Linked DNA regions of Callithrix jacchus. The protein of the gene in region 4 binds, or shares a complex with, the protein of the main gene of each other region. Links are inferred from orthologs where the notes say so. Each region holds a gene or a part of one and is shown on either strand. Other genes may lie near its edges. The genes, in order: PPP4R4, PPP4C, PPP4R1 and PPP4R3B.

The links.
Region 1: PPP4R3B (region 4) and PPP4R4 share a complex: the UniProt entries of both Homo sapiens proteins name them as parts of the PP4 complex. The link is inferred for Callithrix jacchus from reciprocal best matches to the Homo sapiens genes PPP4R3B and PPP4R4.
Region 2: PPP4R3B (region 4) and PPP4C share a complex: the UniProt entries of both Homo sapiens proteins name them as parts of the PP4 complex. The link is inferred for Callithrix jacchus from reciprocal best matches to the Homo sapiens genes PPP4R3B and PPP4C.
Region 3: PPP4R3B (region 4) and PPP4R1 share a complex: the UniProt entries of both Homo sapiens proteins name them as parts of the PP4 complex. The link is inferred for Callithrix jacchus from reciprocal best matches to the Homo sapiens genes PPP4R3B and PPP4R1.

The regions. Positions count from the first base shown.
Region 1 is NC_133509.1:129,079,156-129,085,099, reverse strand, and holds part of PPP4R4 (serine/threonine-protein phosphatase 4 regulatory subunit 4), read right to left. Parts: intron 3,710-5,944; coding exon 3,604-3,709; intron 2,139-3,603; coding exon 1,991-2,138; intron 1,800-1,990; exon of another isoform or gene 1,452-1,799; intron 1-1,451. UniProt on the Homo sapiens protein: Putative regulatory subunit of serine/threonine-protein phosphatase 4.
Region 2 is NC_133513.1:29,434,496-29,440,439, reverse strand, and holds the end of PPP4C (serine/threonine-protein phosphatase 4 catalytic subunit), read left to right. Parts: intron 1-744; coding exon 745-795; intron 796-1,002; coding exon 1,003-1,104; intron 1,105-1,645; coding exon 1,646-1,819; intron 1,820-1,905; coding exon 1,906-2,032; intron 2,033-3,616; coding exon 3,617-3,806; intron 3,807-3,883; coding exon 3,884-4,013; 3' UTR 4,014-4,330; downstream 4,331-5,944. Other genes in the region: T-box transcription factor TBX6, read right to left, coding at 5,147-5,360, 5,434-5,617, 5,700-5,773. UniProt on the Homo sapiens protein: Protein phosphatase that is involved in many processes such as microtubule organization at centrosomes, maturation of spliceosomal snRNPs, apoptosis, DNA repair, tumor necrosis factor (TNF)-alpha signaling, activation of c-Jun N-terminal kinase MAPK8, regulation of histone acetylation, DNA damage checkpoint signaling, NF-kappa-B activation and cell migration.
Region 3 is NC_133514.1:53,377,626-53,383,569, reverse strand, and holds part of PPP4R1 (serine/threonine-protein phosphatase 4 regulatory subunit 1), read right to left. Parts: intron 5,434-5,944; coding exon 5,261-5,433; intron 3,979-5,260; coding exon 3,883-3,978; intron 1,553-3,882; coding exon 1,367-1,552; exon of another isoform or gene 266-1,366; intron 1-265. UniProt on the Homo sapiens protein: Regulatory subunit of serine/threonine-protein phosphatase 4. May play a role in regulation of cell division in renal glomeruli. The PPP4C-PPP4R1 PP4 complex may play a role in dephosphorylation and regulation of HDAC3.
Region 4 is NC_133515.1:58,563,004-58,569,708, forward strand, and holds the start of PPP4R3B (serine/threonine-protein phosphatase 4 regulatory subunit 3B), read left to right. Parts: upstream 1-2,863; 5' UTR 2,864-3,180; coding exon 3,181-3,322; intron 3,323-4,950; coding exon 4,951-5,006; intron 5,007-6,705. UniProt on the Homo sapiens protein: Regulatory subunit of serine/threonine-protein phosphatase 4 (PP4). May regulate the activity of PPP4C at centrosomal microtubule organizing centers.

The DNA.
Region 1 (5,944 bases), on a different chromosome or scaffold from region 4:
CTCAATGTGGTTTTGATTTGCATTTCTCTAATGACCAGTGATGACGAGTTTTTATATGTTTGTTGGCTGCATAAATGTCTTCTTTTAAAGTGTCTGTTCATATCCCTCACCCACTTTTTGATGGATTGCTTTTTTCTTGTAAGTTTGTTTAAGTTCTTTGTAGATTCTGGTTATTAGCCCTTTGTCAGATGGATAGATTGCAAAAAAATTTTTCCATTCATTGGTTGCCAGTTCAATCTAATGATAGTTTCTTATGCTGTGCAGAAGCTCTTAAGTTTAATTAGATCCCATTTGTCTATTTTGGCTTTTGTTGCCATTGCTTTTGGTGTTTTAATCATGAAGTCCTTGCCTATGCCTATGTCCTGAATGATACTGCCTAGGTTTTCTTCTAGGGTTTTTATGTGGTTAGGTCTTATGTTTAAATCTTTAATCCATCTGGTATTAATTTTTGTATACAATATAAGGAAGGGATCCAGTTTCAGTTTTCTGCATATGGCTGGCCAGTTTTCCCAACACCATTTATTAAATAGGGAATCCTTTCTCCATTGCTTGTTTTTGTCAGGTTTGTCAAAGATCAGATGGTTGTAGATGTGCAGCGTTACTTCTGAGGCCTCTGTTCTGTTCCATGGGTCTACATCTCTGTTTTTGTACCAGTACCATGCTGTTTTGAATGTCAGTAATACATCACCTCTCATTTATAAAGCACAAGAAATATGCACAGAAAACTAAGTCAATGCAGTTGTGTTTTCTATATTTTCTCACATTTAAAATACAAAACAAAAACTTCTATATTTGTTCCCATTAAAAAATGCTCATAAAATTCTTAGGTTGAACTTTTCAGTATCTTTTGACAATTCATTTTTGTACATATCTCAACACCAAGGCTATTAATCTTAGCTAGCTTATTATCTCACCAACTCCTCCTATTAAAAAGTTTTGATGTTTTTACATATTGCCTAAAATTCACATCAGTTGTTTATAAAAGAGGTACATATGCATCTCTCTGATGCATAAAACTAAGTGCCCCTAGTGTATAAAAATTTAGAAAGGAGTTCAAGAGTTTGTCCAGGAAAGCCTTTGGCCAACTGACTCTGATGTTTCTCTTTCCTACAGATTTGAGCTCAAGTTCAAAATGGAGATGCAGGACTTAGAACACAGTAATCTAATGATTGAGGGTTTAAAATTCTTTATCAATTGTACAAAAATAGCTCTTAAGTAATAATGTGCATTTACTTTAATGTTTACTTTAATGTAAACTGAACTTTAATGTCACTTTATAGTTCAGTGATATATATTATATATAAAATATATAGTAAATTATATATTATATATAATATAAAATATATAGTAAATTTTATATTATATATTTTACCACAATAAAAAAAAAGGAAGATGTGCTCATTTGGGGAGAAAGAGGACAAAATATATTTATTCTTTTTTTGCATTTCCAGGCAAGCCATTTTCAGGTCTGTCCATCCAACTCAACAGTTAATCAAATGCAATTAACATTTCAGTGGATTTCAAAAATGTAAGGCAGCTAAACATAGAAGACAAGATGAAGACTTCGAAGCAATACTACTTCTTTGAATAAATGGGCCTCGAAAAACTAACGGATGCTCACCAAGCCAACTTTGAAGCAACAAGGCTACTGACCAACTTTTCTTTAATTTTAATGAAAAATTAATAATATCTACTCCACCTTCTAATCATTGCAATGCATATGCCTAAACAGCCAAAGAAGGTTACCAATCTGGCTTTGACTTACTGCTGCTCTCAACCCAATAAAACAAAAGATCTGAGACAGTGCTGAAAGAGTGTGCTTCCAAGTCTTACTGATACCCATCAATTATGAATACTAACAATTTCAAAGCATGTGTAAATTCTTCACTTAAATTTTTAATTGGCTAAGAAAAAGACTTTGCATATGTTCACTACAGTAGATAAAAATAAATACAATGTTTTCAAATTTTTTCATTGATTGATAACATACCTCACATTTGCTACTGGATCACGTGTCAGTTCAATAGCAGGTAGAAAGAAATATTTACAGAAAAACGATTTGGAAAATATCTCTATAATAAATTCACAAGTATCCAAAAATCGAAGTCTATTCCAGTAACTTTTTCCTTGGCCCAATTCTAGAAACAACAAAAATCATCTTAAGTTAATTTTTCCTACATGAAATTAATGTGACAAAATTAGACACACAAAATTCATAACAAGTTTCTTCATACTCACAATTTGGCTAGCAAGTACAAGAGATAAGAGGAAAAAAATCATTATTATATACCTCAGATTTGTAAATCCCCAAATTGACACCTCAAAAACCATAAAAAAAAATTTGTCAAACATTTCATTCAATTTCATAAGCATTTATTAACTATGGAATGACTACATTTACTACTTTTTATCACCCACTATGTGCTAAGTACTTTACACATATTATCTCATTTAACCCTGAAAAGCAGCCCAAATTGATGCACATATTTCTTCCTCCTAAACATAAGGATACTGAGATTTAGTGAGTTTAAAGTCATACAGCTGGCAGGTGCAGAGCTAGAATTCAAACACAGGTCTGTAAAACTTCAAAGTGTTTTAATAATCAAATTTTCTTCCCTTTGTTTCCTTAAAAATGCTAGATACAGTCATATGTAAACAGTATTATTGATAATAATTGAGATCAATATTAAAAAGGTTTTCTTTTTACATAAACGTTCAAAAATAAAATTCTTAATATTTAAAACCAAACTGAATCTTCTTTCAAAATAAAGCATTCTAAACATGAGGTCTTACCACTGAAAACTGAAAACTGAATTAAAATAAGACTATAAAAAGAAAGATTAAAGTATGCTGAGCATACCTTTTCTTAAATGGAATTTTATAAAAGGAGTCTAATTTTTTGAAAAGTAGTGATCCACACTTAAAATGGTAAACTCCAATAACTAGAAAATCCCATTACCTGCCTATGCTGGATAATATAGATTAGTAAAAACATTAAGACATTATAGGCAAAGCAAATATACAATAATTAACAAACTTACTAAGTATATATGGGTATGTGCAACTATTTCTAGAATCAATACTATAAACCAAAGGGTTCTGCCTTGATTTTAGCTCTTACCAAATCAAAATAAATTTGCATTTGTAAACTGACGTAGTTTCTTAAGGCATTATAAACCAACTAGGCTCATCAAATTCATATTCAAATATACTATCAACTCTATTCAAGGAAAAATCCCAGATTCTGTTAATTATGTTAATATTGAAATAGGACCATAAAATAAATGATTAGATTCATGGATATTCTATTTATATTTTAGTTCCAAATGTTATTTCATCAGAGTAGAAACTGGGCTTTCAATATAAGTAAACATATTTTAATTTCTAAAGTGTAGAAATTCACAAAAGAAAATAGAGTAATTATTTCTTTCATTCATCATAGATCTAATCTTGCCATAAGGATTTCTTAAAAATGAAAATCAACTTATAAAACCCAATATCAACCTAATTATTCACAGCAAAATGACACATAAGTCAAATATAACTAAAGCCAACTAGTTTGTTTACTTTCCTTTTTCGAAATAGTAGATAATGTTTACTTACGTTCAATTAATTTTTGAATGACCTCATGTCTTTGTTCTTGTTTTCGATTATAACGCAGAAAAATGCATAGAGTTCGTGAGGCTGCCTTTTGGACAGGTAAGACATTCTTGAAGAAATAAATAAGGCAGACAGTTACACTAGGCTAATTCTATTCTAGATAATTTGGCCCCACCAAATCAATTTTAAGTTATTGACTAAAAAGAAATGGAAGTGTTCACTGTCTCTCAACTCACTGAACTTCTATCCTTCTGGAAGTATCTTCACAAATTAATGTTAACCACCAGGCAAATCAACTAATAATGATATTACAAAGTTAATTTGGCATAGTCATGTCCAAATCATCCAGATATGACGCTCATTTCCTTGCCATCTCACCTTAAATGATCAAATACATCCCTGTCACCTATTCTTTTAGCTGTTCCCTGGACTTTGTCATTCATTCATCTGACAACATTTGCTAAAACATGCCATGTGTCAGGTATATCACCAAAAATATGCCACTACTAAAATATAAACTTAGGGATCCCATGATCAGGTATGCTCTTCAATCCTTCTGGCTTAATTCTAGCTCTTCATGATACAGATGAAGTTTAGAATTCAAAAGATATCATGTCAATCACTCTTAAAGGTATTTCAAGTCCCTTTGTCCTTTGAATTTCTGTCACACTGCTAAGCAGAACCTTAAGTTAAATAAATACAGCCATTTTTCTTTCCTGGGTTTGGGTTCAAACCATACATTAGAGAAAAATCTCTTAACCAGGTATATTGTGCCCAGTATAAATTCACGTTCATTATCTTGACTTGCATACAAATATAATGTTGAATTACTACAGATCCCAAATATCATAGTGGGAATCCTCAAAATTCAAATAGAATGAAACTATGTTGCTGAGACAGTGTTACCTGCTACCTCCTCTCATATTTTATACAAGCTATTCACATTCTATCCGGTACAATTTGAGAGGGGTTTTTAATCTGTTGAATGTTAAAAGAGGTTATTTCCTATGATTTAGAAAATTTAAGAAATATACATAAGCAGAAACATGACTGGACTTAAGGAAAATGAATTTTTGATAAATGGCAAACAAAATAAAAGCATGTTATTCTTTCCTTTCATTTTGTATTTACTGATAAAATTTCAAATACATATACACTAGTCATATGAAAATATGTACATTTTGTATCTCATATAAAATAGATATTATATATAGTTTATGCCATAAGGTATTCTTTTGGGCCCAAAGTCAAAGATAAATGTAATCAGGTCAAAAGCCTGAAAAGCCAGCTTAAAGAAGTTGTGACAATTTGTACACAAAAAATAACTGCAATGACATTATTTTATCTAAAAGAGTCGAAATTAAAAACAAAGTACTCTTGTCACCATTAAAAATAGCTACTGCATCAAATCCTAGCTCTGAAAATTGATAATTAGAGGAAAAATATTAAGAATTCATCCTGTCTTTACATTAGTAAATGTAGCTCAAGGTCATCAAATAACCAATGAGGACAAAGGAATGTACTTCTTCACAGAATGCCACCATCAAAAATGTATAAGAAATGATGGAATTTTAAAATTATTTTGCAAGTTACAATGAAATCACTGATTCAAGTAAGGATAATCAATAGACTCTAAAACTAATAGGTAAAAGGCTGACAGGAAAATTGGGTATTCAGAGGGCTGAAGTAGCAGCTGAAGATTGAGTTGACTATTCAGGCTCTTTTTTGGTCCCATATAAATTTTAGAATAATTTTTCTAATTCTGTAAAAAATTACACTTGTAGTTTGATATGAATGTGTTGAATCTGTAATTGCTTTGGGCAATATGGCCATTTCAACAATATTGATTCTTCCAATCCATAAGCATGGAATGTTTTCCCATTTGTTTATGTCATCTATGATTTCTTTCAGCCATGTTTTATAGTTTCCCTTCTAGAGATCTTTCACCTCTTTGGTTAGATGTGTTACTGGATTTTTTTGGTGTGTGGCTATTATAATTGTGATTGCATTCTTGATTTGGCTCACAACTTGATCATTATTGATGTTCAGAAATGCTACTGATTTTTGTACATTGGTTTTGTAACCTGAAACTTTACTGAAGTGGTTTATCAGGTCTAGGAGCCTTTTGACAGGATCTTTAGGGTTTTCTAGGTATAGAATCTATCATCAGCAAAGAGTGATCATTTGACTTCCTCTTTTCCCATGTGGATGCCTTTAATTTCTTTCTTTTGGCTGACTGCTCTGGCTAGGACTTCTGGTACTATGTTTAATAGGAGTGGTGTGAGTGGGCATCCTTGTCTTGTTCCAATTCTCAAGAGGACAGCTTCCAGCTTTTGCCCAATCA
Region 2 (5,944 bases), on a different chromosome or scaffold from region 4:
GCCAGGTGTGGGTGTAATCCCAGCTACTTGGGAGGCTGAGGCAGAATCGCTTGAACCTCTGAGGCCGAGGTTGCAGTGAGCCGAGATTTTGCCACTACACTCCAGCCTGGACTACAGAGTGAGACTCTGTCTCAAAAACAAATAAGTAAATAAAAATACAAATACAAAAATTAGCAAATTAGCTGGGCATGGTGTTCCATGCGTGTAATCCCAGCTACTTGGGAGGCTAAGGCTGGAGAATCGCTTGAACCCGAGAGGTGGAGGTCTTGAGCCGAGATCATGCCACTGCACTCTAATTAAGCCTGTGTGACAAAGGGAGGCACCATCTCAAAAAAAAAAAAAAAAAAAAAGAAATGGGGGTTGTGGGAACAGACCTTTGATTTGTTAGTGGAGACTTGGCCAGAGCAGAAGGACTTATATTTGGCAAGTGATTTTGCTCACTTGTCTCCAGGGCTCTGTGTTAGTAATTTGATTCTGGATACTTTGAGGGGAGCAGAAAGAGGAGGGGGCCAGGACATACACCTGCTAGGACTTAGTTCTTCCTCAAAGAATAGTTGGTACTTAGTGTGGGACAGTGGATGTGGTTCCAGACCTCGCCAGCTTGGGTTGGGAGAGGAGAGTTTTGGCTCTAGGAAGTAGAGGTGAAGCCAGGAGCGATAAAGCTCCCTAAAGCAATGGGTATTTGGAGGGTAGCCCCTGGGAACTCCCACCACTCGAGTTCCAACCCCCCTTCCTGCTCCACAGGTGTGCGGCGACATCCATGGACAATTCTATGACCTCAAAGAGCTGTTCAGGGTGAGTGTGTGGCCAACACTGAAATGTAACTGGGGGATGACTGGAAGACCCCTTTAATCGAGGGTGGAAGCCTTAATTTGGGGCACAGAGTTGGGGTAAGAGGCCCCGAGTTAGATGGGCAGTTGTGGAAGACGGGCCTCCTGGGCAGGAACAGGTAGGGGGTAGGGGATGGTTTAGGATTGGGAAAAACCTTTCACTTCCCTACAGGTGGGTGGTGACGTCCCTGAGACCAACTACCTCTTCATGGGGGACTTTGTGGACCGTGGCTTCTATAGCGTCGAAACGTTCCTCCTGCTGCTGGCACTTAAGGTGACAGTCCCCGGCTTCTGTACCCCAATGTAGGCCACCGCAGGCTGGGCCTTCTTAGTTCATTCCGCCCTCATCTACCGTGACCAGCCCCACCTTGCAGCTGTGTCGCTGGTCATGAATTGCTTCTGCCTTTGGGGACGGTCAGAAATTTGGTGTGGGGGGAGGCCAGCAGAGCAGCATTCTGGGAGGGGTAGAGGCTTACTGTTGAGAATGTGCCAGGTGATTGATGCCACTGGTGGGAGAGGTGGTAGGGGTCAGATGACAAAGGGCTGTGTGCCTTACTAAGGACTTGGTCTGTGTCTGGCAGGTGAAAGAGGAGCCATTAGGTTCATAGTTGATGGGGAACAGTCAGGTTTACATTCTCTGGAAAGGGTCCTGCGGGCCTGGGAAGTGGTTGGTGCCACACGATTCAGGTGAGAGGAGCCAGTAGTGTGCTGGGCAGTGGTTGTGAGGATGGCATGAGGCTGGCAGGTGTGAGGAGGTTAGAGGGGGATGTGTGGAGGGATAGTCTAGGTACCAGCCTTGGCTTGGCCACCCCCAGGTTCGATATCCTGACCGCATCACACTGATTCGGGGCAACCATGAGAGCCGCCAGATCACGCAGGTCTACGGCTTCTACGATGAGTGCCTGCGCAAGTACGGCTCGGTGACCGTGTGGCGCTACTGCACCGAGATCTTCGACTACCTCAGCCTGTCGGCCATCATTGATGGCAAGGTAGGCCAGCCCAGGGCTCCATGGGATGGGGAGAGGAGGGGGCTCCGGGCCTCAGCCCCGCCCTCTTTCCTTGCTCTCCCCTATAGATCTTCTGTGTGCACGGGGGCCTCTCCCCCTCCATCCAGACCCTGGACCAGATCCGGACTATCGACCGAAAGCAAGAGGTGCCTCATGATGGGCCCATGTGTGACCTCCTCTGGTCTGACCCAGAAGGTGAGGACATGTGGGCCGGGGCAGGCAGGGACAGCCGGGAGGGTTTGGGGAAGAGAGGGAGCAGGGCTGGCCATTAGTGTCCATCTTCCACCTACCAAATGGCTGGAACCCTGGAGGAGGAACAGGGAGGCCTGCATGGCGGATGCTTTGAGTGCACAGTGGCTTGAGGCATGGCCCAGAGGGCTGTGGAGGACCAAATCATTGCTCCCTGAAGTGAAAGGGCCTTGGAACATGACAGCAGCTTCTTCAGAGGTCAGAACCCCAGAATGATAGCCCCTTTGAGACCCTTCATTTTGTGGGTTCTCCACTAGTGGAGCAGAACTGAGATTTAAAATCAGGTCTACTGAGGAGCAGTCCAGAGTTCCTGCTGTCGCACACAGGCAGCCTCTGCTCCAGCACAAACACACACATGTACACACACATGCACAGTCAGCCTCTGCTCCAGCACACACACACACATGTACACACACATGCACAGGCAGCCTCTGCTCCACACACACACACATGTACACACACATGCACAGTCAGCCTCTGCTCCAGCACACACACACATGTACACACACATGCACAGGCAGCCTCTGCTCCAGCACACACACACACATGTACACACACATGCACAGGCAGCCTCTGCTCCAGCACACACACACACGTACACACACATGCACAGTCAGCCTCTGCTCCAGCACACACACACACATGTACACACACATGCACAGGCAGCCTCTGCTGCAGCACACACACACACATGTACACACACATGCACAGGCAGCCTCTGCTCCAGCACACACACACACATGTACACACACATGCACAGGCAGCCTCTGCTCCAGCACACACACACACATGTACACACACATGCACAGGCAGCCTCTGCTGCAGCACACACACACACATGTACACACACATGCACAGGCAGCCTCTGCTGCAGCACACACACACACATGTGTACACACATGCACAGGCAGCCTCTGCTCCAGCACACACACACATGTACACACACATGCACAGGCAGCCTCTGCTCCAGCACACACACACACATGTACACACACATGCACAGGCAGCCTCTGCTCCAGCACACACACACACATGTACACACACATGCACAGGCAGCCTCTGCTCCAGCACACACACACACATGTACACACACATGCACAGGCAGCCTCTGCTCCAGCACACACACACACATGTACACACACATGCACAGGCAGCCTCTGCTGCAGCACAGACACACAGACACATGCAGCTGCTGCTCCACAGCCACTCCCGACTGCTCTGTGACAGCACAGAGTGCCCTTAACGTCTCTGGGACCACCGCTTTCACTCCCGTGTGCTGTTCGGACAGGGAATTGTATGATCACTGTGATTCAGAGGGGGCCCCAGCCATTGGTTCTTTCTTCTCTGGAGCTTATCTGCCCCTACCTTTGCTGTCCTGACCCCTACCATTCCCCAGACCATATTCAGGCCCCATGCTCTGGTCCCCTGGGCCTCTGGTGGCCTTTGGGAGGGGCCCGGCTGCTCACCTCAAGGGGCAGCACTGGCAGCCAGAGAACCCTGAGGACCTCCATCCCTCCCTTGCCCCATCAGACACCACAGGCTGGGGTGTGAGCCCCCGAGGGGCTGGCTACCTGTTTGGCAGTGATGTGGTGGCCCAGTTCAACGCAGCCAATGACATTGACATGATCTGCCGTGCCCACCAACTGGTGATGGAAGGTTACAAGTGGCACTTCAACGAGACCGTGCTCACTGTGTGGTCAGCACCCAACTACTGCTACCGGTGAGCCGGCTGGGCCGGGCTGGGAGGGATGGACATCTGAGCCCAGCTGCTCCTGACCCTGCCGTCCTGCCTTCCAGCTGTGGGAATGTGGCAGCCATCTTGGAGCTGGACGAGCATCTCCAGAAAGATTTTATCATCTTTGAGGCTGCTCCCCAAGAGACACGGGGCATCCCCTCCAAGAAGCCGGTGGCCGACTACTTCCTGTGAGCCCCTGGCCCCTGCCCCCTCCAGCCCTTCTGGCCCTCGGACCACTGTGACTCTGCCTCTTCCCCAGATGGAGGCTGGGCGTGGGCGGAGGGCTGTCTCCAGCTCTGCTCTCCCCCAAGAGGGTGCTTTGAGGGTGAGGACTTCTCTGGAGAGGCCTGGAGACCTAGCTCCATGTTCCTCCTCTCCTCTCTCCCCACTTGAACCATGAAGTTTCCAATAATTTTTTTTCTTTTTTTCCTTCTTTTTTCTGTTTGTTTTTAGATAAACATTTTGAGAAAAAAAAAATGAAAAAAAAAATTCTAATAAAAGAAGAAAAATGATCTTTGGGTTTGTGCCAGACAGACTTGGTTGGGGATGTGCAGGGTTGCTGGCCTGGGACCTCGGGAGGACGTCAGGGCCTTGACTGCCTCAGGGCCCGGACCTGGCAGGAGGGCCTGACTCAGGCCAGTCAGCTTACCCAGGGCCTCCAGGGGCTGCTGTCTGCTGGCCTCCCCAGCGCTAGGGAGAGGCTCACTTCTCATGGCAGCCTTATTAATGACTGACAACATGAGATTCTGATTTCTCCAAAGAGGAGATGGGCATAGAGAGCCAGTGGATTCTGTGCTAGGTCAGGCAGCTGGAAACACAGGTTTAGATCTGGGCCTGGGTCTTCTAGCAAAGCCTTTGTTCACCCTGCCCCGCCCAGGGCCAAACACATGAGCCCAATGTTTCCTTAGCACGATGGCTCTTGAATTTTATTAACAAAAATACTCTGGTCCCAGAACAGACTGGTGTGGCCTGCACCAGTGGTGTTGGGGGTGGTGGGGACTGAGCCTCCCAGAGTCCATGGAGAGGCCTGAGAGGTGGGGATGCTGGTCTGTGGCCCCATTTGGCCAGGCAGAGTCCCCTCCATTCACACAGAGGTGAGAGGCGGGAAGGGGAAGCTGGCCCCAGCTGGACTCCCAGCAGCCTTGGTTGGGCTTTGAAGCCAGAGGGGGGTGGGAGTGAAATCAAGGTGTGAAGTTGGGGGGTGGGGGGCATGCCCAAGGCAGCCATTTGGTGTGGGGGATGGGGCCGGTGGAGGTGAGGGGGCTCCAGGGCTGGGGGAAGGGAGCAGGAGGTTTATGATGGAGGCAGAAGGGCCCAGCATTGGCTCAGTACATGGGTTTGGAGCCCACATCCAGGTAGCCCCCAGGCCCAGGGTATGGTAGAGGGAAGGGGCCCCCTTGGAGAAAGTGGGGGGCAAAGGGTGTTGCTGGCGGAGCCGCTGGGTACCCAGAGGCCCCTGGCCCAGGTGGCAGCTCCAGAAATGCAGCTGAGTAGGGGGCTGAGCGCCCAGAGTCTGGAGCCTCCGGGAAGCTGGAGCTCCTGACATGGAGAGAGGGATGTCAGAGCAGGGCAGAGGGACCCGCAGCACCATCTGGTCCCCTGTCCTACTCACCTGGTGGGAAGGTGACTGGGAGCCCCGTGGAAAGCTGCAGGGTGCAGGAGGTAGGCCTCGGCACTGGGGCCACCGCACGGAGGCACCGGGACAGTGGTGGCTTCCCCCAGGGCTAGGGCCTGCTCTGGATCTGATTCACGAATGTCTCCACCCAGGGTGGAGTCGCAGGGACCACCTGGGGTGTCTAGGGAAAGGGAAGGGAGAGGTTGGGCTACGGAGGATCGGTGTCTCGGGCCTGGCCCCATCGCCATCGGGACTACACTCACCTCCGCTCCCACAGGCCTCTGTGGCTGCTGGCTCTGGGCCCCGCAGTTTCCTCTTCACACGGGCGTCTCGCTCCCTGGGGAACAGTGGTGGTGATGATGATGATGATGATGGCCATGGTCGTAGTAATAAGTACTTAACCAGTGCCAGGCATTTCACCCTCCCAGGGACCCTGTCAGGTAGGGGCCATCATTATACCCATTTCACAGATGAAGAAACTGAAGGCCAGAAAATGAAATAAGTAGAA
Region 3 (5,944 bases), on a different chromosome or scaffold from region 4:
GTACAGTTCTATTACAGTTTAAATAAATATTTTGAGATCAAGTGTGAAAATCAAATAAGCATTTATAATACTATTTCTATGTGAAAAATTAAATCCTATATTATCAACAATTAACCTACAGATAAACTTTAGATAATAACACATTTTAAGTTAGAAACTTAAGCATGTTGAATGTGATAACAATTTCTAACGCTTCAGATAAAAATGAAGAAGCCAAATTATGGGGCTCTGACAGTGTAAAAAAGAACACACTCCGTTATTACTCTTTTTTTTTGCAATGTTAATTCATTTTATTTATCTTGTATAAAAACCCTATGTTGCAGCTACAGCTGGAGCTTGGGTCCTCTGCACGGAGACTCTGGTGTGGGTCTTGACTAGGTGGTCAGTGAATTCCTGATAGGGAGACTTGGTGAATACAGTCACCTTCCAGAGATCAGGGGTCAGGTAGCTGTAAGTCTTGGAGATGGCATCAAAGGTGGCCTTGGCAAAGTTGCCCAAGGTGGCAGTGCAGCCCCTAGATGAGGTGTAGTAGTCATCAATACCAGCCATCATAAGCAGCTTCTTGGGCACAGGTGCTGAGACAATGCCAGTGCCCCTGGGCGCGGGGATGAGGCGCACCAGCACAGAACCACAGCAGCCTGTCACCTTGCAAGGGACGGTGTGGGGCTTGCCAATCTTGTTCCCCCAGTAGCCTCTGCGCACGGGGACAATGGAGAGCTTGGCCAGGATGATGGCCCCACGGATGGCAGTGGCCACCTCCTTGGAACACTTAACACCCAGATCGACGTGACCATTGTAGTCCCCAATAGCAACAAACACCTTGAACCTGGTGTGCTGGCCAGCATGGGTCTGCTTCTGCACCAGCATAATCTTCAAAACCTCATCCTTGAGAGAGGCCCCCAGGAAAAAGTCAATGATCTCAGATTCCTTGATGGGCAGAGAGAAGAGATATAGCTCCTCCAGAGATTTAATCTTCATGTCTTTGACCAGGCGGCCCAACTTGGTGACAGGCATCCACTCCTTTTCCTCAGCTTTGCGTCCACGAGCTCCGTGGCCACGACCCCGGCCCCAGATGCCACTGCCAAAACCTCCCTGGAAGCCACCACGGTTCCCCATCCCAGGGCCCCCAGGGTGCCCGGGGCCTCCGGCATCCCCGCCCACGCCCCCCTCCGCTGCACCAGCATCATCCACCATTTGATGTTTTATCGGAGAAGAAGCCATTATTACTCTTAAGCTCTTCCATACATAATTTCCTATAGCATTAAGTACATGCTAGAACATGAACAGAAATTCTTTAGGTTACAAAAAGCAAAGCACTGTGCTTTCCACATGCATGTTCTGCTAATTCTTTAACTGCTTTACTCACCTGCATGTCTGAGGCCAGAGTCTCATATGTCTCTCTCAGACAGTGCCAATTCTGTCTGCCGAGTGTCAGAGCCACACCAGGGAGACTATATGCACAGTGCTTAGCAATTTCAGTGTCAACCGTCTGTGCACGAGAAGGGTCAGTCATAGATAAATACTGATCTAACAAAGCCTGAGGTACAACATCCTAATGGAGAAAGAGAAACCACAGTGACTGAGGAGCTGAGATACATTTTGAGCAGTTTAGATATCAATTGAGCAAAACTATTTTTAAATATACAGATTTTAACATAGCATCTCAAATGGGAAAAACCAATGCCAAATTTTCTGGTATCTAATAAACTAAGAGATACGAAAACCATGTTAAGGGAAACATATATGAACAAATAAAAGTAACTCTAGGAAAACAATGGATAACATCTTAAAACAGAAAATAGCTCAAAGGACAATTAGAATTAATTACTAAATTGAAAAGACACATTAAAATAACACCAGCACCTTTAAATGTAGGCAGAGATGATAATGCTTGTTGTAACCCAGCAAATGCAGTATAACAGGTGCTCTGCACAATTTACATGTTCATTAAAAAAAAAACAGCCAGGCACAGTGGCTCATACCTGTAATTCCAGCACTTTGAGAAGCCAAGGTGGGTGGATCACTTGAGCCCAGCTTGGGCAACATGGTGAGACCCTGTCTCTACTAAAAAATTAAAAAATTAGCCAGGCATGGTGGCTCACACCTCTAATTCCAGCTACTCAGGAGGCTGAGGTGAGATGATGACTTGAGCCCAGGGAGGTAGAAGCTGCAGTGAGCCATGATAGTACCACTGTACTCCAACCTGGGTGACAGAGCGAGACTCTGCCTCAAAACAAAAATTAAAAACATGGCTTCTTTAGATGAAAATTTAAGCAATTTTTTATACAAAATTGAAGAGCACATCTCTAATCAATTTGTATATATGTGAAGAAAAGAAGAACATATTTGCGATCTTGCCTAGGTGTGTATAATATAGCTATGGAAGGACATAAAGGTAAAACTGGTTGTATCTCAAAAGCAAAATGGATGAATGGAGAAGAAAAACTGAGAAGGAAACATCACTGAATGCCTTTTAAGTATCTTGAATTTTGAACTACATAAACAAATTACCCATATACACAAAATGAAAATGGAAATAAACTCATTAAAATAATGATTTGAAATATTGAAAATATGTCTGTAAGTGGGGAAGAAGCATGTTTCAGAACACTGTTTTGAATATTTCATTTTTAATAAATAAAATAAAAATTGGCTAGATACGGTAGTGCGCATCTATAGTCCCAGCTACTTGGGGAGCTGAGGCAGAAGGATCGATTGTTTGAGCCCAGGAGTTCGAGGCTGCAGTGAGCTATGATCCTGCCACTGTGCTCCAGACTGGGTGACAGAGGGAGCTGAGACCCCATCTCTAAAAATAACAACAAAATATACCATTTGACCTGGGAAATTATTGTTACTTCTAACAATAATAATATAGTCCAGGCCAGGTGTGGTGGCTCACACCTGTAATCACAGCACTTTGGGAAGCCAAGGCAGGCGGATCACTTGAGGTCAGGAGTTCGTGACAGCCTGGCCAATGGCGAAATCCCATCTCTACTAAAAATACCAAAAATTAGCTGGGCAGGGTGGCTTGTGACTGTAGTCCCAGGTACTTGGGAGGCTGAGGCAGGAGAATGGCTTGAATTCAGGAGGTGGAAGGTGCAGTGAGCCGAGACGGCACCACGGCACTCCAGCCTGGGCAACAGAGGGAGACTCCATCTCAAATAATAATAAAGTCCTAGAAGCAAACAACAAGTATAGGCAGTCATGGTGAATGTAGCACTACTTATAGCATCAAAGTGAAACTACAACAGGTAGCATCTCTCACGGTTTCTTACGAGGGAGACAACAGGTATGGCGTTAACACTGTGCTGCGCTGCTGTGAAGGTGAGGGAGTCCTGGTGTGCTTACAGGAGAGATCACCAGGTCACATTGTTAGAAGAGGAAAAAAAAAGAGCAAGGCAAGGCACAGCTATCACATTCCAGTGATTCCATGAGCACAGTTTCCTTGCAGCTTGTTACTGACAGCACTTTAAAATGGCTTTGAGCCTTTTTAAAAATATTTTCATCTCTGAAATCAAGCTATATTTTATAATTATTGGCAATGGGAACATGAGGACATACCTAGGTAGGATGGGATGACCACAGTTGTCTTGAATGATAAAAAGGGGTACATGTGTACATTTATGTGCCCATGAAGATACATGAAGGAAGATAGCAGGGTTCATGATCATGGTCACTCTGAAGGAAGAATGGGATCACAGGGGTAGGAAAGGGAAGATTTGTGCTTACATGTTCCTCTACTATTTCAATGGAAAATATGATATACTAGTCATAATTTTTAAAACATTCATCATAAAGAAGGGTCAAATTAGGTCAGAAATGGGCTCTAAAAGAGGAATTAGGAACAGACACACAAAAGAATACATTTTTTTGGTCACTTACTTGTACTTTAGTTCTCCTTTCCTCATCAGGGCTGAAACTGCTATTGTTGCTCAAGTCTGAATCGTTGTGAATATAGTGAAGAGTGGAGTCCATATTCTGTTAGGAAAAAATAACTACTTAAAGAGCTATCCTGTCTGTACATCTTCATTTTAGCTATCTAAGTTACTTACCTTTCAAGACTGCCAAAAGTAATAACACATATAAATTCCTCATGTTTTTAAAGCTTATAAACATACCTAAGAACTTTTCCTGCTTTAAATCTATCTTACTGAATAGGTTGCCAAATGCATGAAAACCAATTCCAGAAAAATGAGAGTAACTGAAAATAATATCTCAAAGTAATTTTGAAATGGTCCAAATAGCTCAAATTGGCTTATTCATAAAATAGTACTGGGAAGATTCTTTTGGTCCATTGTTCTAGAGACCATGGAGTGTCACATGCAGTTTTTCTTCTATTTCTATTCTTGGCTGTTAATATCCAATTTCACAAGTTATATACATGTTAACAGCCAAAAACAGTAACAACAACAACATAAAAACCTTCTAAGATGCAGATATATTAATGCTATTCAAATCTCCAATAAATGGTCAGGGTTTCAATCCAAAGCAGTGGTATTATACAGATTTCTAACTATACCACATGCCATCTAACTGAAATCAAAACAGAAACGCACTAATGTTCTAAGAACCCTCTTGCCAACCCCAGTGTGTGTGCAGGCACTCTTTCCTGAGCTTCCCATTCAAGCCAGTATAATCTGTGACCATGCGATTCTGGCACGCAGTGGGGTATTCCTTCTCCCCATTAATAAAAACAAGAGCTAAGTAGCACTGTTACCAAATAATGTTGGCTTGATTGAGATGCAGCAGGAAATTAGGGAAGGATCATAGAGAACAGCTACAAGTACAAGTGAAGATGATGCTAGGATCAGTACCCACCCTCACACTCCAGAGTCCAGATAATGTCACTGGCCCTCCGCAACATGGCCTCAAGTCCCGATCTTCTGCTCAGAATATTGTGTTGCTTGCTGCAGTGAAATGGTCCGATCAGAAACAAAGCACCTCTCCAAAAAGAAAAGGGAAGAGTTAATTATTCTTGATAAAGGGCTTTGTTTCCAGTAAGACTACTTCACTGCAGTGAGCTACATTAACATTGAGTCTACTAAATGGTCATATAGACAAAAGTGGGATTTACTTTTCCAGGCAATTCATATGACACTGGTGTCACAAGGACAGGATGTGATGAAAACAAGGAAGAGCTAAAAACTCAGCAACAAACAGAACATACAAACTAAAAGTGATTAGCTAAAACTATTCCCCAATGAAAAGTCTTCTGATTCAAACTACTCTCACTCGGTAAACACTTTACTGAGTTTGTTACCTCAACAGTATCGCTGATTAAAGGCACAGAATCATCTTGACTTATTTTACAATTTGGTAGCTCATTTATACCCAGTTCATCTTGCAAATCACTTCTCTTTTCTATATTGATGGTCTCTTCATGCGCATCCAGGCTGGAAGCACGTAGTGCAGCAGACAGCACTTCCACTTGTGCTACAGGCAAAATAAGTAAATGGACAAAGTGAGAAACACAACTGCAATATTCTTACAGGGCTTTTGTCCATTTGCATTGTACGTTATCAATGAAATATATACTTTCTTGACACTGCCATCAAAAAGCTGGAAAAAATTTCTACTGTGGTAAATCATTAGTTCTTCAAGAGAAAAAGTAGAAAACTAATATGCTTTCATGAGATTAAAAATGTTTATCTGCTACTGTACATTATTCTGCGTTAGTATGAAAAGAGAAATGCTATCTAGTTGCTGGAGCTGCCTCCAGCTTATTAAAAGGAGTCAATTTCAGTAAAAGTTAACTAGGTTTTGGTAGTGCATGAATCAAACTGACAAGGCTTACTTACTAAGCTACTTTAGCAGAAGAGCAGTCACACAAACCCTGCCAATATAAAACAATGGTAATTACAAAGATTCTTGTGACAGTTACATTTAAATATCTCATCTTATTACTGTTTATTTTTCTCTAATTCTTTTTGAAAGTGAAAGTTAT
Region 4 (6,705 bases):
AACCCAGGCTGAAATGCTGGCTCCCCCGCCACTCACCTCCTGCTATGCTGCTCAGTTTCTAATAGGCCTCAGACCACTACTGGACCACAACATACACATTTATATATAGTTACCTGTATATGCACACAATGTCTCTGGAACAGAACTAAATACATACTTTGTGGGCCCAGTGCAAAATAAATCTGCATGGCCCTTGTTCAAAACTCTTCTGAATTTCAAGCTAGTGATAGCAAAACATTAAACCAAGTACCTATCTGTAGAGGTAACATCCATAAAACCAGCCCTGCTCTGGCAACATACACAGGAAAATGGAATAGTGGTGATTTCAAGAGGAAAATTCCATGAGTGACAAGAGAAAAAGATTAAAAGAAGACTTACTTTCACTACATACCTTTTTCTGCCTTTTAAATTTTGTATGTGTAAAGGCATTATTTATTCAAAACACACCAAAAAAAAAAAAAAAAGAATAAAAACGGGAGACTGTGGGCATATTTGGTTAGCAACTCTTTGAAGTGGAACTTTGATGACTGCCCGAAGCAAAGAACATCCGCTGAGGAAAATGTGGGTTGTGAGGTGCCCTCAGACTTGAGCAAGCACTGGGCCCTGTGCTTTGGAGGAGTCTGAAGTCCATGGAATCATGGGACTAAAGCCACCTGCAGCCAACTCTCCCTTTTTCAGACCATGCTGTGGGCACTCTAGAATTCCCTATCCCAAAAGCCAAGCCTGATTCCAGGGTCTGCACAATCCTCTTCCCAAGTTCAGCCCTCCTGAGAAGCAACCAAAGGGTGAGGCTGGACAGAAGGCTGGAGCGTCTAACATCAGGCTCAAAAATTGTGTGAAGCATTCTCTGACTCTTCCAAGGCAGAAATGTTATTTTCTCTGAGGTCAAAACACATTTTGTCCACATTCATCACATCAATTAACTGGCTCTATTGTTATGTACTATATCATGATGACTTAGCTCAAGTACATTTTCTGAGGTCTCCTATAGATTAAAAAAAAAACACACACAAAACAGCAACTGAGAAGTCCCATTTGGGCACCCTTCTCTTTTAAAACGAGAAAAAGCTGTTTTCTGGGCCGGGCGCGCGCAGTGGCTCAAGCCTGTAATCCCAGCACCTTAGGAGGCATAGGTGGGCGGATCACCTGAGGTCAAAAGTCTGAGACCATGCCTGACCAACATGGAGAAACCACGTCTCTACTAAAAATACAAAATTTGCCAGGCGTGGGTGGCGCATACCTGTAATCCCAGCTACTTGGGAGGCTGAGGCAGGAGAATCACTTGAACCTGGGAGGCGGAGGTAGGGGTGAGCCGAGATCGCGCCATTGCACTCCAACCTGAGCAACAAGAGGAAAACTCCGTCTCAAAATTCAAACAAAAAATACTGTGAATCCAGATTTTGAAATAATTATCAGCGCGTGTGTTCTGTACACTGACCCACGTTGTAGTATACTGCTGAAGGGTGTCCACTCATAAGTGATCTGGTCAAAACATAAGCACGTTTTAACAAGACCATTGATTAACTATGACTACAACTCCCAAAATGCACTGCAGGGTCAGTCAGCGTGCATGACTCGCCTGGTTTTCACTGAAGTGGCTAACGGGCTGCACAGAAGTGACAGCTGAACAAGCTGAGAGACTGTATTAAAGAACGAACATAGCCGGGGTGGGGATTGGGCGTCTGTGGTCCCAGCTACTCCGGAGGCTGAGGTGAGAGGATTGACTGAGCCCTAAAGGCGGAGGCTGCAGTGGGTCAAGATCGCGCCACTGCACTACAGACTGGGCGACAGAAAGAGACTGTCAACCAACAACAGAATGAATAAAGGGATTCTACAAAGAGCGAGCTGGGATTTAAATAAACGACACGCTACTACGACCCAGTGCGTGAACCATATCCACCTCGCAAAGTGCGACAATAGCCTCGATGCAGAGGAAATTTCTCCTTCGCTTATTCAGTGCAGGAGACCCCTATAGAGAATACAGGAAACGCCCGTGAGAACCTGAATTATCGAAACAATGACAGATGTTAGGAAAGTAGCTCCCCGCCACTTCCCTAAACTTATCTGCAGACTTACTTTCCAAGGTTACAAACATGGGAAGAGCATTGTATTGCATGAAGCGGAAAATGTGCTTTCCAATCGCCAGCTATTAAAAGCCTGGCGGTGGTGAAACGCTCTGAGGGAAATAGGAAACTGTCAACACACTTGCACGAACCGCCTGGAGAGCTGTGTGCACAGACACTTCCTGGGCAGATGCTTAATTGTAACGAGGTTTAGTGGGCTTCTATTCGGCTGAAAGAGTTCTACTCTTTTTCTTTTTCACAGAAAGGTTTAAATTTCACAGTTTGTTCTTTTTCACAGAAAGGTTTGAATTTTTTTCCCTCTGGCGGACGGAGTGAACTTCCTTCCATCAAGATATGCGAGCACTTTTCTTTCTGTACCTGGTTACTCCGGTTCAAGGCTTCGTACTTCCCCGGTTTGCTTTGCTTTTTCCTCAAAACTGAGTTTCTGCGAACATCACACGCAGCTGCCAGCTAGCCTATAACCTGACGAAGTGCGGAACCGGACTCAGCCCAGCCGCCTTCCGCCGAGCAGCCTCTCGCGGCGCATGCCGGGAAGATCGCGAGAACCTCCTGCCCAATTACGATCCCGCGCCAGGAGGCGGGGCCGAAGAGGAGGAAGTCTCGCTGAAGCACTCCTGCCCCAGTCGTGTACCCTTCCTCGCGAGAACGCTGAGCATTCCGGCTTCGGAAGCGCTTGTAGAAGCGGAGGTGCGGTTCATTGAACTCGTCGGCCGCCGTAGCCCCTGCTAGGACAGCCCGTGCGAGCCTGCTGGAGGAGGAAAAGAAAGGCAGAGAGAGTCGGATTACAAGATGGCGGATCTGTAGTAGTTACCGCGGCGGTACCGGCGGCGGTGGGAGAGCGAGCGAGCCCTGGGGAGCAAAGGGACCGGAGGGTGGGTGTATGCGGGGGTGAAGTGAGAGGTAACAGGGCCTCCGGGCGAAGGGGTCTCAGTGGCTCTTGTCACCCCTTCTCGCGGCTGAATCTCTGGACCATGGTGAATTCGGGCCTCTCCGGAGCCGCCGCCGCCACTACCGCCTCTACCGTCTCTCAAGAGTGAGGGGCGCGGACGAGGTGAGCGAGGAGGCGGCGGCTGGAGCGGTGGAGACAGCAGCCACCATGTCGGATACGCGGCGGCGAGTGAAGGTCTATACCCTAAACGAAGACCGGCAATGGGACGACCGAGGCACCGGGCACGTCTCCTCTACTTACGTGGAGGAGCTCAAGGGGATGTCGCTGCTGGTTCGGGCAGAGTCCGACGGTAAGGTTATCGGAACGGTAGAACAGGGGATAGTGCCTCTGATTGGGGCACAGTCTGGGGTTTAAGGCCCTGGGCCGGTTACCGTTACTACCACTTCGGGACAGCGCGTTGGTTCTAAGCTGGAGCTTGTGTACGCCAAAAACAAACTACTGTACTTTTGACTGGACTTATCCTCAGAGACTGAGACTCTGTCCGCCTCCCATCCCTCTTAAGGATTGGACTTCTTCTTTTACAGTCCCTCCTCTTTTGAAGAGGGGAGAGTGTAAGAGAAGGGAGGAAGTAGTGAGAGACTAGGTACTGATGTCGCCGTAGGAGCTGACACCCTCCTCCCCCTTTATTCCTTTATTTTCGTATCCATTATACATCTAGTACAAAAGGTTTAGCGAAACTTTTCTTTCCGAGTGTCGTTAAAAGAAATTTACCAGTGGGCCCCAGGTGCCACAGTCGGCGGGTGCTGGGGAAAACCAAAAGGCACCTTTTCCTGGCTGTATTGCTGACTGTTACCACGATACATGGACACACAAGCACATACATCTTTAGTGTGGGATTTCTTTGGGCTGCCTTTGTAGAAGGCGCTGTGAAAAAGTGAATGCCTTGCAGTCTAAGCAAGTTGGGACACCAAAGCAGGTTGTAAACTCATATTCTTTGATTTATTGTAGTCATGTGAAGTATTTTAAATTACAAAATGTAGAGCCGTAATTAAAACGCCTTTTATATTGTAATCTGGACTTGATTTGAACAACTAATATGGGCACTTAGAAAACTAATCTTAGGTTTATTCTTGACATATTTTGTTTTCTTGCACGTTCCCTTTTATTTTAAATAGTCAACGCTTATTTCTACAGAAGGTGTTCTTTTGTTCTTAATGAGAAAAGGATAAATGCAGCACTTTAATTTGTATACCAAGTATTTAATCCCTGTCATGGTGTTTTGTTTTTGTTTTGTAATTTGCTTTATTGTTAAACTGGGAATACAATAAAACAACTTTTACTTTAAAAAACGGCTTGAAGTGGTCATTTAGACCTTAAAATTTTTATTTCAGTAAAATTTTAATAGCCATCTAGTCTCCTCATTCCTTGGTTTGAATGTTGGTTTCAAACGAATTTTTTTCTTTAAGAGTGTATGGGAATAGTAAGAAATATTCTAAATTAAATATGAAGCCTAGACTTGGAGAGAAAATGTGAATTCGAATACATTTTATTACTTCAGATATCCAGTTGGGTCAAAAGACATGAAAACGTTGGGGGGGGGGGTGTGGTTTTTTTTTTTTTTTTTGAGATGGAGTCTTGCTCTGTCACCAGCCTGGAGTGCAGTGACACAATCTCAGCTCACTGCAACCTCCGCCTCTTTCTTAAGCGATTCTCCTGCCTCAGCCTCCCCAGTAGCTGGGACTACAGGCACATGCCACCACGCCCAGTTGAATTTTGTATTTTTAGTAGAGATGGGGTTTCACTGTGTCTGCCAGGATGGTCTTGATGTCTTGACCTTGTGATCTGCCTGCCTCGGCCTCCCAAAGTGTTGGGATTACAGGCATGAGCCACCGTGCCTGGCCTTAATGTGTATTCTTATTTTTATTTAGGTTTTTATCATTTTAGACTTATGATATATTATTATTTTTTATCTTTCAGGATCACTACTCTTGGAATCAAAGATAAATCCAAATACTGCATATCAGAAACAACAGGCAAGTAGTTGTTTATCTTTAATTTGAAAGACTTCATCTGTGATCAAGGAAGTATTAATCTGACAAAGGTGGGAAAGCTTTCCTGACAAGAAAAAACATGTTTAGTAAACAAAGATCATGTGTATTTCTCTTGCAGGTTAAAAGTTTCAGACTGAAAAGTGAGTTTTTGTACTGGTGATAATTATCACCATTTTTGAATTGAACCACTGTCAGTTTATATTAGATTATGATGTATTAGTATTATTTAACTATAGTTAGCCAGGACTCTTCTATACCTTGTATATGAAACCTTTTATTCTGAGTCACATTTAAAGAAAATGACTTGAAAGAAAATTCAAAGGGACACTTTTAAGAAAGCCTGTTTGTGGTGTGAAATTAAATCCTTTGACTTAGGTAAAGATAGAGGTTTTGAAGTAGAAACATTAAATTCTGCTCTTTAATTGTTGTATATTTTTATTATAGTAATCAATGGATACTTTATAAAAGTGTACATTGCCAATTATGTACCATCTTCTGTTAATATTTATTGTTTTATTTGGGAAAGAAAATGTGTGTTGTATTTTAGCATGCCTGATTAATCTGAAAATGATAGCAGTGATTCAACCTTTTTATTCTGTGAATGTTTTTATTTTTATTATGAAATATATTAAAATTGAAAAGTACAGAGAATAATGGGGGTCTACTGTAACACCACCAGATTTAACAATGTTAACATTATATCATACTTGTTTCAAATACTTTTGTAATATTGAACATTATGGATAGAGTTAAAGCTTGTTTGTATCCATCCCATTCTCTCCATTCTCCATCCTCTACATAGGTAACCACTATTCTGAAGTTGATGTGTATTCTTTGTGTACATGCTTTTATACCTTTTCTGCATATGTATGTATCCATAAATAATATGTAGTCTGTTGTGTGTTTTTAAACTTTACACAGTTGATATCGTACTTTTACATGTATTCTGCAGCTTGCATTTTTCACACATTCATTTTGAATATTTGTTCATGTTAACAATGTAGATCTAGTTTTCTTTTTAAACTCTGTATAGTATTCTTATTTATGACATACACCTGTTGTTATACATTTGAATTATTTCCAGGTATTTTGTGTGTGTGGTATGTAAAGTGACAATGGCAGAGATTGTTGAAGGAAGATAAATTATTTTAGGATTACATTTACAGCATCAGTGCTTCAAGGTTTATGAAAATTTGGATGCCCAGAAACAAGTACTTCATAGTTGGAGGAATAAAATTCTGTCTGTTGTGCAGCTTATTAATACAAAGTCTTACTGTTAAACAATTGTTTTATGTATACAACACATTCTTAATCAGTTCTTTGAAATACTTTAAAATTTTCAATATTCAATTAATAGCTTTTTTCTCTGTTTAGAAAATATTGTGTGTCTTTTTTGATGGAGAAGCAAATTAAACATTTGTCCTGAATTGAAAATCTGAAGATGTTTCCTATACCTTAGACATTTTAAGGTAGACATTTAAGTATATTTAATTTTTAAGTCAGCTGGGCAGTTCTTACTCTATCTTTATACTGAATTTTTACCAGATAATCACTTTTGGTTTATTTTTGTTTGCTTGGTTCTTTGTGGGGACAGAAATACTAATTTTTTTAACCATATTTCCCTTATCTGCATAAATATAAAATTATCAGGAACTTTTTATTAAATGTAACTAAGTCATAA